3 linked regions of the Caenorhabditis elegans genome follow. The protein of the gene in region 1 interacts with the protein of each later gene in a pairwise test. Each region holds a gene or a part of one and is shown on either strand. Other genes may lie near its edges.

Region 1 (7,241 bases):
TTCTCATAGCGTTTTTAGCTGTAATTTGAAAAAAACTTTAAACCACCAATGTTCCGTCTGACTCATAATTTCTCAATATACCTTGATTCAAAAAATTGTAAGAATAAAAATAGTAGATCCACTTAACGGGCGGCAATTAGAACTTTGGAAAACTAAAGAAAGAAAGAGAGAAAGTTAGAGAAAAAGGTGGAAAGCGAAAAAAAAAGAAATATAAAAAAGTGGGAGGCTAAGTGTTTGTTGTGTTCGAATCACTTAATCTTTATGGGAAAACAACGAAAAAGAAGACTTTCACGGATGAATTGGCTTAGAATTTAGATGTGATGACGCAGCAAAGGCCACTTTGCGGAACGTTCGAAATAATCATGATTTCAGTTTATAAGTGTGTTGATGTCAGATAATAACTTTAATTTATTCAGAAAACTTTGATGTTACTCATTGTCAGAGTTGTTCAAAAAGTTAAAAACAAAAGTTTTACTAGCACTTGAAGGCGTAATAAAATATGAACTTTGGCGAAAATTGCGAAATCGATGTGAATATAACTTGAAACTTTCTTAGAACTTTTGGAGAACTAACAGTTTGGAAGATTTTGAACGGTTCGACCCAAAATGTACATTTAAAGATGTAAACAATATAGAGGATGTTTGATTACCTATCGGTTTAATTAACGAAATAAAACAATAAAAAAATAAAAATAAAATACCAAAAAATGCAATAAAAGACGATAATTCCAAAAAATTCAACATCGGACAGATGCGACACAGAAAAGTAAGCAAAGTTTGAGATGCTAGCTATAATCAGTGTACTTTTTCGAAATTTTGAACCGCCATAAATTTTGAGAAGTTTTTTGAAATTCGAGGAGCAACAAATAATAACTTAGGAGTGTTGCCTAGCACACCGAATTTTAGATAGTGACAAGTGTCACTTCTACAGTTTATAATAAATTAATGGCTACAAAAAGTCAAGAATGTAAATATTTGGAATTGTTTAAAACTCATTCATATATTCCGAGTTAAAAAATTCAGGTTTAATTCTTTTAGAACTATTATAAAGTGCAAAATATTACAAAGTTGGTTACAGATCTTATTATATTGTGTACTATAATATATCAAATACATATATTTCTGAACCATTTAGAAAAAAAATGTCAAAAAAGTACATAAAATGCATACACAATATTTATTGTCAAAATAAGAATTTGTAGAAAAATCATCAATGATAAGTTGAAAAACTATCAGGAAATATACACGCACCCGCAGATGAATAACCTGATAGGGGATTGAGGTAGGGAGAATGAAAGCTTAAGAGATAGATCAAGATGAATGGGTGGTATAGAGAACCGATTTAAAGCTAAGGAAAGAAAAATAAAGCAATTTCAAGAACCTAGAGAAACATTCAAATAAATAGAAGCTTTGAAGTAACGACTGTAAATTTACAACAAAAGTGCGTAAACAACACTAATCTTTTTTTAAGCGTCCGGTATATGAAATACAAACAATTTCATACTTCAATGGTTGAATCGCTTTTAGAATCATTAGAATCATTAGTTTCCGTTGAATCGTTTGACTCGCAGGACACTTCAGAATTTGCTGGTGAGATTTTGGAGAAGAGGAGAAATCTGAGCTGCGCGGCCTCTTGCTCTAAGCTTGAGACCTTTCCACGTAGTTGCATGTTTTCCCGTTCTAAAGCATGAGCTTTTGATGCGATTTGTTCTTCTTTTTGACGACGTGCGTCTCTCGAACGTTTCGCTGCATCGTTGTTTTTGCGCCGACGCTCGAAGTATGCAGAGTCCTGTAATTGCTGAGATTAATTGTGATTTGTTAAGTTTTCAGAAACTAGGAATTTATTAGTCTACAAAAGTAATACACAATTTGCGAAAAGCCTATCAACTAGGAATTAATAAATCTCTAAGCACAGTTAGCCTAGCAAAGAATCATAATTCTATTAGGGTGATAAATAAGTTTTGTCGTTTTTTTTTCAGTTTTGATTTTTTCTAGGATATTTTTTGTGGATATATAGAAGACAGTTAGAATGACAAGCCTATCAATATCAGCCATGATGGGCACCGTTAAGATTATTTCCAACTCCGTTCTCTGCCGATCAAAACATTTAATTTTTCCGATTTTTGTCATTTCTTTGGGAAATCGAAAACTTATACACCCTCAGGTAATAGACTATTAGTTTAGCACATTAGTGTAATAACATCCTCATACATAGCGTATCGATACAACAATATCAGTTGAAAGTGCCGAAAATGCTTGCAAACATGACTTTTTAAACTTTGAACGACGCTAACTCCTGAAACGTAAAAGATATGAAAAAATGATCAACTACAAAATTAACAAGCATTTCAAGCACTACAATGTGTTAGTTGATGACTGTTCTGTATCTTTTGTTGTTTTTGAGTTAGGGTCAGTTGAAGTACGCTAGGCCGAAATTTTGATGATACCATTTTTCCCCATTTTTCCATGTAGCTTCAAGATAAATTATTTAGAAGAACTTTTTTAAGCAAAAATACAATAATTAAATAATTTTATACATTTCATTAGTTGTACGTTTTTAATATTTCATATCCCCGAAAAGATATGAAGCACACATACACTACTAGTTATTTCTTATGCGACTTTTTGAGTTTTCATATACTTTATTAAGGAATATGCCAAAGTTATTCCGTTTTATAAAACAAGAGCTACACATTATCGCAAATCCCATATTAAATATCAAAGGAAAAGTATCTCATATTCACGTAAGTTTATTCAAAAAATCGGTGTGACAGTTGTGTTTTGTGTAAGCCTCTCTTCTAACCACCGTATGCCGTTCACCAGAATGAGTGGGTTTTGTTGTGTAAAATGTACGACCCCTCTATATATTTTTCCGTATGTTTTATGCTCGGAGGGGCACCGCCCGTAAAAGAAAACTTAGATGTAATATGCGTTAGGCCAAAAAAGTTTGAGTCTTTTGTTACAGAAGGACATTAAAGTTTCATAAAACGACAACATATACAGTGCCGACCAATATTCTATTCGTTTTCGCTTTTAAGGTGATTTGCTTGAGTTGTTCAAACAAGTATAACTCGAATACGATAACATCTAGCAAAATATTTTTAATTAACAAAATGTTGCCGTTCATTTTGTCTACACTCTTGATGTTGGTTTACATAACTTTATTACGAAAAAAGCTACATCAGCTGAAATCAGCCGGGACTATATTTTGACTAGAATTGCTAAGTGACCCACAACTTTGTGCTCATGAAACAAAGTTTAATAAGAAAATAATTTGCACCAATTTTTCTACACTCTGCCATTTGCAGTTCTGTCATCAATCGACCAGGAAAAATAATACAGAGGATTGAACATGATTCTCAAATTTCTAGATTTTGAGCATGTTTTAAAAATCCTATTAAATAGCTTTATATAATAGTTTTTGTAACGAAAACTTACATCACGAATGTTTGCAACATGTTTGAAATGTTTTTAAACTCAGAACCTAAACAAAAATTTTGCTCGCATTTACAGAAAATTTGGTCAGTTCTGACTTTTGTAATGCATGTTTAGTCATCTGTATAAATTTCCCTGGGCACTTTGTGACAAAACAACAAATTGCAAAAAGTTGAAAATTCTGTGGAAATTATTTTTTTAAATTACACATGTAGAAAAAGTAACCGGTAACATTTTGTTAGTTGAAAATTATTTGTTAACTATTATAGTATTTAAGTAATATGTGTTTGAAAAACTCAGGCAAATGGCCATAAAACCGAAAGCAAATAGAATATTGGCCGGCAACGTGCCACTATGATATTTGGCCATTTCGCACTGGCGCTACGAAAAATTACAATTTTTTTACAAAATGAGAATGTGGGTACTTGTACGACGCAGTAAATATAGCTTACTTAGTATTTGATGCTAGCTGAACAAGAAGTGATGCTGATCTTAATTTTTTGAATTCCCGCCTCATTTGAATAATATAAATGGTAGCCCAAGTCCTCTACGGGGGTATAGTTGCGCAACACCCCTTCCTGTCCGGTCATGCCCCTCTCGTATATTCATATTCAAATTCCTCCACACACATGAAGGTTTCTCTGTCAGGTAGACTGTATGTAATTACCCCTTCTTTTTCTTATGGCAACAGTTGGGTGGTGCTAAACAATGAGCCGAATCTCGAAGAGCTCTTAATTGGAGGCAGTCTGTACCGCATTATCCCAGGAACAACCAGCGGATTTTTGAATTGGGATTGTTAGGAGTAATTATTCATTAGCATAGCTTAGAGACAAAATGGCGTTGACAATGCTCCGCACTAAGAGGAAACTCCAGGAATACGGTAAATAAGGCAACTTATAATTATAATAGTTTGGGTGGGGGCGTTAATACTAGTTGACTTTCACACTATCAAAAATTCTGACACCCATAAACCATCTCCAACAGACACCTCGCGGTCGTCGTTGCGTAACTAACAGGAGTCGTGTTACGTAACTGTAGTGATTTGAACTTAAGACCACGCAAATACGATTTATGAATATTTTTAACCTCATGGTAAGTCTCTATTGGTTTTCAGATTTTTTGGAATTGTATACACTTGAAACTTAAAAAATTGAAACAAACCTTTTTTTCTTCTGGAATCGGAACCGACATCTTTCGTGATGGTGACCGTTGGGGACTTGAAAACTGAAAATAATTCCAATAGTTTTATAAGTGCTAATAATTTTTCCCAACTCACGTGTGAACTGCTAACCGTACTCGACCTGCTTGACACTGGACTGGCACACAATTCATCTTCTAGTTTGATCTTCTTGGTTGGTGTTAAAAGATTTGTCGTGGGCAGTGAGTCAAATGGTAAAATCCCCAACGGAGTGTCCAACTTCTTTCCGCCGGACTGTGCAGCAAGTGCAGTCGTCAGAATAGAAGTTCCGTCGTTGAATGGGAAACCAAGTGAGCCGAGCAGTGGTTGAACGGCTGCTTGATTTGTGAAAAGCGCCGATAGTGCTCTATGAAAGTCCATTGCGTCTGCTGTGATAATTTGGGGCTAAAAAAGACACAGATTTATTAACTATAAGAGAGTTGAAGAGGTAAATGTTTGATTTTCAGTTTAAACTTCCGATGGATAAGCTAAGTGAATAGTTTTAACCCTAGAAGACAAAGGCTAGATGGAAAATTCCCAAAAAAATCCTTTAATTGATGTAATAGGGTACGTCAATATTGAACTTTTGATTAAAACATTTTTAGAGTTTCATAAACTATAAGCTTGAAAATTCAACTATAGACCAGCCATGTTTCAGGTTACACCATCCAATTCCGTTTCAAAAAAAAAACAAAGATATGCCCATGGTAAATTAAATTGAACAGAAGAATATATTGGAAGGTAGAAAAGAAAGAGGTCAAATGTTTGCACAATCATAAAAAAGAGTAAAAGGAAATGGAGGAAAGAGACAATCTAGGATTAGGGTGGAACCTGAATTGGTAGAGGTTGTTAGATAAGCGGTGAGTACTGATAAAGTCAATGTGGATCCTCAAGTTACTTAACAAGTTTGAAAAGTTGTGTTTAATCAAAATAATTGGAATTTTGCTTGTCATATCTTAAAATGAAAAGTTGAAGTAGGCTAATTGTTATTACAAAAGAGTATATAATATAATTCAAGTTTTTAGCTCTAGAATACATTTCTTAATCAAAAATGATCACTGAAGAAAATTCAAGATGCATACGTTAGATGGGGAGGAAATGAAATGACCTCTACAGTAGTCATATTTGAAATCTATATTTTTTTGTGAATAATTTAAGTTTTATCAGAGTATTGTAACTGGAAACATCTTAAGAGTTTTGCGCGATTTTTGTAGTTCAAAGTTACATATGATTTTTTATTAGTAGAATCAAAAACTAAAAAAAAACGAAGTTGTAAGAAATTGGGTCTACTGGGACCACCCTGTTGCCCCATATACCCATCGGAGCATAAGAGTGATTGCGCGTCGGCTGTCTCGAGAAATGACAGGCGGTATGCGGGATGAGGGTGGCAGCATTTTCCGCCCGCCCTCCAAGAGGTCACCACCGGCCATCAGAGGGTGCAACAGTGCGCAACACTAGAGAGCACGGGAAGAGAACGAGACGCAGAGCAACCGTATGCAATGGCATTTGAATATTCGTTTTCTATGAGAGATAGGTGTCTCGTGTGCATTGGAACGTCGGCTCTTCTTCTGAAGAGGAGAATGAGGGGTTGGTGGTAGACATGGAGGAAGAGACAATCATTACGCAAGTATTTGAATGGTAGGTAGTCATTAGGTAATAAGGTTTGTTGGGTTACGGATTTGTTGAAACATTGAATGAATGTTTTGATGCTGTCTGAAATCACCTGAAATCAATGAGAAATGAAGATTTAATTACCAGCAGTCAGTATTCTAAAATTCAGGGTTTTAATTTTATGGCCTTACTTTCAACAATTAAACCCTCACGTTTGAGAGCACATCTTAAAAATTCAATATTAGAGGGATATCATTAATATTACCACCAAGGCTTCACATGCATCCGAAATCACTTCTCTTCATGCAACAATATTCATCCTCCCGACCTTTCATCCTCTTTCAAGTACCATGTGCTCATCGGTCCCTCTTTTGAACTTACGCAATGGCTAGTAATACTGCGTAACTGTTACAAATCTAGCCTACCGGAGGGTATACGGGGCAGTGCTGTGGGGCTCTCGGCTCTCGGCGGAAGCCGAGAGCTGAAAAAAATTTGAACTCGGCTCTCGGCGCGAGCCGACTTTTTTCAAGAGCCGCACAGCACTGATACGGGGTTTTTGAATTTTTTATTGGAATCATATTTACATTATGAAGATTTACGCTCTACTTCAGGCTCACAATCCTGACACAAACTTTGAAATTTGATGAATCCAAATAGGCGAGTTTCCGATTCTCCGTGGCAAAAACAGCCGAGTTCTTGTTCTATTTGGCACTGATCTAAAGATAGGACATGTTTGTAGTCTTTCCTCGCATGCTCCGTTTACGATAGCACATGTGTTGAGCGCAATTAACTTCGCGCACATCTTCCTAATCCCGACAAAAACGCCGACGTCTAATTGATCATTGAATTATTATCTTCCAAAAAGGACTTGACACTTTTTCTCCTCATCGAAAGCCGAATCCACTTGTCAATCATCATTCTATAGAATTCAAGCAATTGCCAATTTTTTATGGATGACTTGCACAGGCGGGTATATATTCAAATGGAATTGAATTTGAATTTGTGAGGTTAAGATTTTT
Region 2 (5,321 bases), on another chromosome or scaffold:
TTCCTGAATTGGCTGAAGTATCATTGAAGAGATAAAAACCGTTTATCCTTTTGCTGACCCGTGTCCCCCTTTTCATTCGTTTTTCTCTTTTCCTTTTCATATCCGTTCAAAAGTCACACATTGGGCGATGTTTTTACAAGAAATAATTATCTATGTACGTTTTTTACGAATAATAATATTCAAAAATTGTGCAAAAGTACTATTATTTATAATTCCAATATTTATTTTTTTGTATGAACCTTACCGTATATTAGTTTGTTTGCTAATATCCAAATTTACAAAAGGCTGTTTTTCGGCCAATCTTAAATTTTGATAGTTTGATGGAAAACACTTATTTTTACTAAAATAATCGAAAACGTAACCTGGAAAACGCTACACCGTCTTTAACTTAAGAAAAAAAAATATAACTAACTCATTTTATTTGATTAAAGTTGTTGATTCAATAATTTTGAAACAGTTTTCATTAATTCACTTTTCAAAGTGGGCAGACTCAAAGAATACCTCTTTTTCATGTGAAAAGCTAAAACTTCACTTGTTCCAATTTAAAAGTTCTAAGAAAATAACAGTTCTTCTTGACAATCCTAGATTCAAGTAAAGATACCTTTATCTAAAATTGAATTTCAATTTTCTCTCCTCTTTTTCCAATTTCATTCACTTTCCTTCCCATAGCCTGCATACTTTCACCGACTCGTTCCCGAACGATATGATCGTGCTAGCCACTCTCTCTTTCTCGTATCGAACTGCGATCTTTCAGTTCCCAACAAGAATACCATCATTTCAACACCTCACTTTCGCAATCAACTACCAAAAGTGCACTCTCACTCTGTTACTCTACCTAACCGTATTATCCGCTCTCCATGTAAAACTACTGAAGTAGACACAGCAAGGGACAGGCACACACTCACTGGTCATCAAAATCATCAAATGATGCAGTGAATTTGGCTGTTCTGGTTTGCAGACAAAAAAGTTTTGGAAGCGGTGCGGGAGGATAGTGGACACTGTTTGTGATTCACTTCTCGTCATTCTCCGAGCCTTACAAACAAACAAAAATAGCTCTCTCTTTTCGCTGACGATTGTCCCCCAACACGGGCGGCGGTTATTTTGGCTCTCGCCACTCTTTTTCAAGGTGCACAATCAAAAACAAACAAGTCCAGCCCGATTTCGCGAATTTGTTCATCTAGTTCAACGCATTTTTTTCATTTTGAATACATTTGCTTGTATCGTTTCCGAGTTTCTTGAACAATTACTTTCAGAATTGAGTATCATTTTTTGTGTTCAGCAGTGAAAAATAACCAAAATTTCTCTATCAGGCTTGCACTCACATTGGTCATATTTTACAGTCCTGACCTAGAGTGCGTTTATGAATTTTTCAAGACTTTTGTTTATCTAAACCTACCAATTTTTTCTTCGTTATCTTTTTCAACTTTATCTTTTAGCCGTATCTCATTATTCACTTTCCACCCAGTAGCTTCATCCTCTTGTCTTCCAATTCTCCGCAAAGTTCACCTACCCTTTTGTACTAGTGACCTGATGCGACGAATTCAACCATTGACCTCCTCCTCCTTCTCACACTTAGACACACATACATCCGTAACCCGAAGCAGCGAAAGTTAAGCATGAAAGCGAAAGGAAAGTGAAAACAATTAGGAAAAGTCGGCATCATCATGGATCGGAGGAGGCGACGCGTTGAAGTCGTTGCGAACGATGAAAAATGATTAGGAGACGGGTCGAAGAAAAAGAGAAGGGACTGCAATGAAGAGAGAAGGGGGCGAAAGTCGGAGGGGATATCCTGTTCTTCGACTGGTTTATTGTAGAGACTGAGAGTGAGAGGATCTACCAAGCATTGTCCGAAACATTGACCATGGCTAACTGGTTTGCAAGGCGCAAATAGGTCAACTGAGGAGAGGCACAACACCGCTTAATTGTTGCTAACTGCACTCTACACCTACCATATGAACACACCTGTACCAGATATACTTTGTTTTCTCACCTTTTTTTAAGTTAGTGATTTTCTGGTTGTCTAGATACTCAGGGATTAGCATTGCGTAAGATCATCTTCACTGAAACCAAAAACTGAATAATTTTTGTATACACATTGGTCAATTAAAATGGCTTACAATTAATTAATAATATCTGGAAACAGTGAACACATTGAACTTCTGATTGTGCTGAATCTCCAAAGATCGTGTCAATTTCAACTCAAAAAGACGTATTTGTCCTTACATCAAATAGGTTGACAGCTTCTTTTAACTCTACTAACTTTCCATTTCAATACACCATGTGTACTAACATTTTGAAGTCAAAATATAAATGTTGTGTCTTAATTCATTTTGAAAGATTTTGGTATTCATATTTCTTTCACCGATGTTCTTTTCTTTCAAATTTCGTACTTCTATATTCTTGATTTTCTTCTTTTGTTTGACTTTTAATCATCTTATTTTTATTTTTCAGATGGACGTCGACTCGGCATCATTGTCACCGTCCTCCAGACTTTCGGTGGTTTGTTCGGCATCCGCCGAGTTCTCATCGAGCTCGTCGGATTCGTCGAACTTTTCAGAAGGATCTCCCCCGGAATCTAGAAGGTTTGAATTTTTAACAGTTTGATGAAACTTTTGAAAGTTTAAATACTTTTCGACATTGATAACTATTTTTCCAGAAATTCCGTAAACGAAAGTGTAATAAAAGATGAACATTACTGGGAAAGGCGACGGAGAAATAACGATGCATCAAGAAGAAGTCGAGAAAAGCGAAGGCAAAACGATCTAGCAATGGAAGAAAAAATAATGTTACTTTCCGCCGAAAACGAACGGTTAAAATCTCAGTTAGGAACGACACCAATTCCACAACCATCAGTAACAGAGCCTCCAACATCTCTGATTATTCCCCAAGTTGCAAAGAATCTTTTCCCAGCGGGTCCAATAGCATCTTTGCAAGCGAGTTCAATGCTTACTGTTCCATTGCTCCAGGCAGCTTCGCATATTCCATCAATGTTGCAGCTTTGTCAACTACAGCCAACAACTATTCAGTCACCGGTAAGTTATTTTATTGAACTTGGAAATATCGAAATTGTGATGATTTAAATAAAATAAATTAACTCGTGGAAAAATATTTACTATTACAAAAACGTCTGAACCGCATATAAAGTTCCATTGTCATTTTTTGGCAACACAACTCAGATTGTCAACAATTTAATGAATACATTGACAGCTGAATGCGTGACCTAGAAAGACAGATGTCCCATAACGTTTTTCCATGTTTGTAGGTCTATGCGAGCACTCAACAACCTGCATCAACGTCAGCATCATCTTTATTCTCTTCATCGTCTTCATCTGCATTTCATCCTTTTCGACCATCAGAAAGTGCTCAGCAGAGTTTTCCATCGAGTAGCGTAATTGTGAAAATTGAACGAAGAAGTCCAGATTCATCAACTGACGTGAATATGCCTCAACCTCAGTTACAGCCTGGATCTAGCGTTATTCAACAAAGTAAGTCGTTGTTTTTGAAAGTAAAGAGCATATTTTCATTTCACTAGTATTAATTGAAACTATAATCTAAAATTTATTTCAGTCGGTCAGCCTGCTCCATCAGGTACGCCTCAACCAGTAATCCAAGCTGTTCAACAAGGACCATCCCTGCTATCTGCTCTTCTTTCACAGCGAAGACCTTCTCCTACAGTACCACAAAGCCGAACGGAACATATTTCGGGGCTAAATTCCCCTCCAAGACATACTGGAAACAAATCAGACTGTGAAAGTGTATCGTCTTCAGCATCTTTCTCTCCATCGCATTCTTCGGAAGATCACTCAAATTATTCGAACAAATCGGTAAGTTTTTTTAAAGGAATTGAAAGAAGACATTTTTAAATACATGTCAAATATTTCAAAAAAAAACTTTCAGCCCCAATATGTGGACAGACGTCGAAGGAACAATGAAGCCGCAAAAAGATGTAGAGCAAATAGACGAGCAGTATTCGAATACAGGTCACGACGAGTTCAGGTAAGTTGAAACTAATTTTAATAGAAAACATAAAATTTTAAAACTTAGATATAAATTTATTGAATCAATTATTACTTAACATTTTCAGCTCTTGGAAGGTGAAAATGAAGATCTTCGTACCCAAATCGAAACGCTAAAAGCAGAAATAGCCCACTTCAAATCAGTTTTGGCTCAAAGAGCATCAGTTGTTACTGCCCTTCACCCTTGATCCCATTCCATTTTCTTATTTTTGACTAATACGGATAGAAAGCCAATTTTCTTCGTCTTCTCGCTAGATGCCCCCCAATCAAAGTCTTTCGCTCTCAAAAAACCCTTCCTCTCTTTCTGCAATACTTCCAATCATTCATGTGCAATACTTTTTAACTTTAAATGTTTCATTAATTGTTTCTAATAAAACCAATGTGTTATTATTTTTGATTTGCTTCCTGTACAAAAAAAGGTGAAACAACAAAAAAAAGTAAAGTCTGCAAACGATTTTTAAAATCCACCCGTCGCTTGCCAGAAAACGGAAACTTTTCAGAATGATATAACTGAATCAGAAAATTGTTTTATTAATGTTTCATATATACAAATTATTATGAGAAAGTGAATTTAAAGTTGAGCATTGATAATTATTTGATTACTTTTCCATTAAACAGAACTTGTTTGCCCTTTTCGTTGATACTCCATGTAAATGTCATGTATACTTCTGAAAGGACATGAAATATAAAATATTTCCTAATTTTATGCAAATCTTGACCCACTTTTCCGTTTCGATGACGGCAACAGACGGTGGCGGAATGTCATAAATTGGCGCCTTTTTTGAATTACGATAAAAATAGAAGGCATTCAGGCCTAGATCCAGAAGTCCAAATACTAGAACCAAAAAGCAAAATACTGAAGCAACTTGGAATGTTCCAGTGGAAACTGATTGATAACATCCGTATTGAGTTATTGCTCGGGAGTCACAACCATCATTGGCAATTAAAAACAGAATTGCAGAGACGAGAATGGAAAGAGCAAAAACAAAAGTGAATAGACATCTCTGGAATTTTTTGACAGTACAAATCTACGCGTTATCAACATTAAAAATAAAACGAATTAAGAAGTTTGGGTTTTTTTTCAAACTTAAAATCTTTTAAAAATTACCTTAACTATGGTTGTAGTTTCAACATCCCATATAAATAATATAGACACCGCTGAAGCTGAAAACAGTAGTGCAATGATTACGAATAGCTGAAACAAAACATTAAGTTCTGACCTTGAAGATTATTATAGCTTACCAGTCCAAATACGGCTGATACTCGGTTAGTCCAATACTGGCTGAGTCCAATTATGAATATTAC
Region 3 (4,770 bases), on another chromosome or scaffold:
TTATACATATGTATAATAAAATTTAACTTCGTTTGTCTATATTTGAAACAGGCAACTTTGTAAATTAGCTTTTCATTTTTACTTTCATTGTTTTCAATTTTGGACCTAAAGGGTAAGTTGAAGAGATCTGAAACTGCCGATAACAGACCAACAAAGTAAAATAAAAACAGTGAACTGTTTCATTTATGAACTTATTTGTCAGATTATTTTTCACTACCAGTTTTCATAAACTCCGCCAGACCTAGTAAACATAGTATTTAATAATACGTCCAAATGAAACAAGTTCAAATTAAAAAATTAAACTTTTTAAAATTTTTTAAAAAACATTGAATGAGATAGTCGATAACACGCATGTACTAAATAAAGTTTGCAGTAGCCATAAATATGCATGATCAATTAGATCACAGTTAATTTGAAGGAAATCCTCAGAAAACAAAGCTACAAAAATTGTTGCGTAGGTGGATAAACGGTTTCATAGTAAGAAAAATATCCGATTGAGAGAAGGAACAGAAAAAGATAAGAAATACAAATAGATATTTAGTTTTGTCTGTGTGCCTACTTATCTACTTGATATGTACTCGAGTACTCGATATGAATATAATTTTATAAATATCGTAAAATTTGCACGAGGATTCACAAAAAACTGTTTCATATGAAATTGCGTTGTTTCAAATATTTTCAGCACTCGTAGTTTTTTTGTTGGTATTTTCTGCTCAGAATATTTTCAAACTAAGAAAATGTCAGTATAATTAAATAGGCTTTGCCATGGTTATTTTGTGATGTATCCAGCAGGAAATTGGTATTTTAGACGCAACAATGCACACACGACAACAAAATCTCACACCGCACCACATACAATTGCTAAAACCAATCAGATGAATTTCCATTTGCACTTGATATTTGTTTTGAAATTAGAATATTCTAAACTTATTTTGAACAATTTATTCATCATGGAATGAAATGTACATTAATACAAATTACAGTGAACAAATATAATAGCCGCAAATTTTGTGAGAGATCGCGGAAGTTGTATAGTTTTCAATAAATTAATTTCAATTCGTGCAATCGTTATCGTGGAAAATCTCATTCATCTGGGAAATCATCAAAATAGTCCAATTCGTCCGAATCGTCCGAATCAATTCCTGCTAACTGGAAAAATACTTTTTAAATAAAATCAAATAATTAATAGTTACTAACCTCTCTTTGTTTCTTTTGCTCATATTTTGCTAACATTAAATCCTTAGTGATATCCAAAGACGTATCGAATCCAACAACTCCTTTTAAAGTGAATTCGTATGGCATTCCTTCTAAAGTTGGCATTGGGAGAACGGGATTTTTTGCAGCTTCTTGAAGTTTTCGCACGAAATCAGGATACACCTTTGAGAGCATCTGAAATTTTCAAAATAATGAGAAATTAATAAAAAATGTAAAGACGTTACCACTATTAAAATTTAATATGAAAACTCACACTATCATGTAGACTGAGTTTCATTTTATCATAACACTTCTCTAGGTGCACTCTCAAATTATACTTAAACTTAATAGGAGTGTTACAAAGTGAGCAGTATACATCTGGAACGTCTCCATGCGATTTCATATGACGCTTCAGTTTGTCCGGAGTTGAGAAAAGAAGTAGACATTCTGGACATTGACGATGTCTTTGCTTTGGATCAAATGCTCCTGGAATATAGATGTTTAAACTAATTTCAAACTAAAGTGAGATATTCTTCATCACATATGAAGTGCGCCAATTTACCCCAAATTTCAAAAACATGTCGTTTATATTTTGTTTTATAATCTATTCAAAACTTAAACTCTTCTCGAAATCTGATATGCAAGCTAATTTCTGTTTTTTGAATAGGTGTGAAAATGAACCGAATAAGTTTTTGATGACTATGTATATAGATTTTTAAAAAATATTATTATTTATAACTCACTTTGCTTTACTCCGTGTTCTCCGTCAGTTTCTTGCTCTTCTGCGATAGTATCCCGATTTGGCTTTATAGTCCTTTTTCGATTTTTTGACCCTACCATCATTTTTCTTTTAGATGGGTACAATGTCAACTCGTCTTCCAAATCATCATCTCCTTCTTCCTCTTCTCGGACTTTAATTTGTTTCGCCGATTTTTTAAGTATTGCATTGACTTTTTCAGTAGTGCTTTCTTTGTCTTTTCGAGTTTTTTGAGTCCTCAAAACACGATCTTGAATCGTTGACGTTGCCATTCTTTTTGATTTTTCAAATGTTTTTCTATTTGTTTCTTTATTCTGCTTGCTTGTGACATCTAAAGCTTTAAAAATGAAGAAAACATTGAAGGTCACAAATTAATAATCATGCATTGCAATAATCATACATTTTTAAAATCTCACTTTTATTTTTATTTGCCGGTTCGGAAATTGGGAGTCTTTTTGTTTGGTTTTGTATTTTATGAGCAATTTCCATGTTGCTATCTTGATCTAAATCAATAACAGGCTCTTTTTGCGTGGTATTAGCCAGTTGTTCGGTGGTTGCCATGACTGAAACAAAATTTTCAAAGTTTGTTGGTACATAGCTTTTCATGAAGAATCATCAATTTAAAATGTACATAAGACAAAGTATAAATGTAAGCATTTTTTCATAATTTTTGAGTATATAATCAGTCCTTGTGCTTTATTATAATTATCGATCGTCACTATGACAACCAACGAATAGAAATCGAGAAATTAAACAGATAATTTAGTTGGATGAGAGAAGAAAAAACTGATAAAAGCATGAGAGCTCAGCTGTGTGAGCTCAAATTTGCGGTGTTTGAAACATGTAGTTCAATAGAGCGAATTTGAAATGGACGGGTGGGGGGTCTTGTATGTGAGAGAGAAGAACGCGGTAGTCTCACTGGAAAAAATGTTTAGTAACACGAGAATATAGTTTGCTAAAGTTCCAAAATTATTTGCCCGATCCAAGCTATACTTTTAAGTTTGATGCTTCGAATTAATTTTCAAAAATAATTCCGTATGATGTTTATTAACGAGAAAAAATGTAGATTGAAATACCAGCTGTGGCAAAATGAACAAAGAATTGACAATTATGAAATTCCATAACGAATACAAATATCTAATCACTTCTCATCAAACAAATTGACATCGTCTAAGGCGTCCTCATCTTCTGACTAAAAAAATACTATTATCATAATGTTACGTATAACTGCAAATTACATACAAAAACGTCTGTGGGATATTTCGGGAGCATCACATCCAAATGAACATCAAGACTCATATCGAATCCAGTGACAAATGAATATCGATCCATTCTGTATGGCATTCCATTCAAAGTTGGCATTGGAAGAGACGGATTAACTGCAGCTTCTTGAAGTTGACGTAAGTAGTCCGGGTAAGCTTTGGCGAGCATCTGAAAAAAGTTTTCGAAATTCAAAATATAACACATTTTGCTTAAAAGTTTCAACTCACACTGCCTTGTTCCATTTCTTTCTGGCTCGGTTGACATTTGTTCATATGTTGCTTCAAGTTGTATTTATACTTGATTGGAGCATTGCACATTGGACAGTATACCTCTGGCTCATCTTTATGAGAATGGTCATGGCGTTTTTTCTTATCAGCATTTTTAAATAATGCAAAGCAGATATCACATTGGAGAGCTCGAATTTTCGGGTCTTCGCTTGCTGAAAACCTTTCGAGTTCAATTTTGGTAACAGTTAAGGTTTTGATTGTGGGATGATAAAGTGATTTACAGAATGTTGAGCATATTTATTTTGGTTAACTTACGAGCTCCAACAATTTTGTTCTTCTTTGCTGCAGCTGTTTCAGATTTCTTCTTCAAAGTCTCTTCTCGTTTCTTCAATCGAGCTTTTTCTTTCTGTTCCTTTTCCAATTTTTTCTTCATCGCGTCTTCCATTCTTTGTATCTTTGCTTCCGATGAAGTTGAAGATTTATCAATTCTTCGTCTTTTGGGAGCAACACCGGATAGCTTTGGTGAGTGATTTTCAATATCCATTTGATCACTACCAAATGAAGTTGATGTTGAATTGCTAGTATTCATATCTGAAAGAAAAACGGGAGTTTGATGCAAATGTCTCAAAATAAAGACATATTTTAAAGAAAATTTAAAAAAAGCTGTTGTGCAATGTGTTAAGAGTGATGTTGAGCAGATGACTATGACCACAACAAGTGAGCAAAAAGTAGAGGGAAACAAGAAAGAGAAGACTGTCATCTTTCCTTTCTTCTGGATATATGTTTATTGCGGTGCGATACTCTGCACGGTGCGAACAGATTGAGGAAATGACCTGACCTTTTTAACTAACAAAACACTTGCAACGACAGTGAAATAGTATTGGCAGACGGGAGAGAAATAGAGACAACAATAGAAATGGAACTGTTTTGAACAATTTGTAAAAATGATAGATTTGATAATTATAAACGATAATTATATAAATTGCAAGTTGCCTGTCTATGACAACATTATGACAAGCTAATAAGTTTAAAGAACAGATGAAGCAGTGCAATACTGAAAGGTACGCAACTGTCATAGAGGAAGCAAAATATGTACAGTAATTTTATGTTAAAATAAAATATTACAGCTTACAAAGTATAATACGATGTGCATAAAATCTTACGCCTGTCCGTGGCTGTTTACCGATTCTGTAAGTGACCATGAAGGATAGTTATACTGCACGACGGAAACTTCTCGGTTTTCTTGGTAGTACGGTAACGGATTAGCAACATCTGTTTCACTTTTCACCGTTGGAAGGATTTTCAGAGATTTGATGCAATTATTTTTAA

The links.
Region 2: the proteins of ces-2 (region 1) and atf-2 interact in binary tests that used the Caenorhabditis elegans proteins (3 or more experiments, as listed by UniProt).
Region 3: the proteins of ces-2 (region 1) and T22C8.3 interact in a two-hybrid assay, tested with the Caenorhabditis elegans proteins (2 studies listed by BioGRID).

Annotation. Positions count from the first base shown.
Region 1 is NC_003279.8:14,959,278-14,966,518, reverse strand, and holds ces-2 (Transcription factor ces-2), read right to left. Parts: upstream 5,023-7,241; 5' UTR 4,993-5,022; coding exon 4,711-4,992; intron 4,659-4,710; coding exon 4,596-4,658; intron 1,789-4,595; coding exon 1,498-1,788; 3' UTR 1,158-1,497; downstream 1-1,157. UniProt on the Caenorhabditis elegans protein: Transcription factor. Required to activate programmed cell death in the sister cells of the serotoninergic neurosecretory motor (NSM) neurons. Negatively regulates the activity of ces-1 which in turn negatively regulates the activities of cell-killing genes.
Region 2 is NC_003280.10:8,749,535-8,754,855, forward strand, and holds atf-2 (Transcription factor atf-2), read left to right. Parts: upstream 1-2,451; coding exon 2,452-2,582; intron 2,583-2,656; coding exon 2,657-3,032; intron 3,033-3,262; coding exon 3,263-3,485; intron 3,486-3,567; coding exon 3,568-3,824; intron 3,825-3,897; coding exon 3,898-3,996; intron 3,997-4,084; coding exon 4,085-4,204; 3' UTR 4,205-4,399; downstream 4,400-5,321. Other genes in the region: K08F8.7 (MARVEL domain-containing protein), read right to left, coding at 4,627-4,684, 4,740-5,020, 5,125-5,211, 5,259-5,321. UniProt on the Caenorhabditis elegans protein: Acts as a transcription factor that recognizes and binds to the sequence 5'-[GA]TTA[CT]GTAA[CT]-3', a sequence present in many promoters.
Region 3 is NC_003280.10:8,619,463-8,624,232, forward strand, and holds T22C8.3 (C2H2-type domain-containing protein), read right to left. Parts: upstream 2,522-4,770; 5' UTR 2,513-2,521; coding exon 2,368-2,512; intron 2,283-2,367; coding exon 1,938-2,282; intron 1,681-1,937; coding exon 1,469-1,680; intron 1,390-1,468; coding exon 1,198-1,389; intron 1,150-1,197; coding exon 1,084-1,149; 3' UTR 923-1,083; downstream 1-922. Other genes in the region: T22C8.4 (C2H2-type domain-containing protein), read right to left, coding at 3,093-3,143, 3,194-3,382, 3,442-3,653, 3,757-4,030.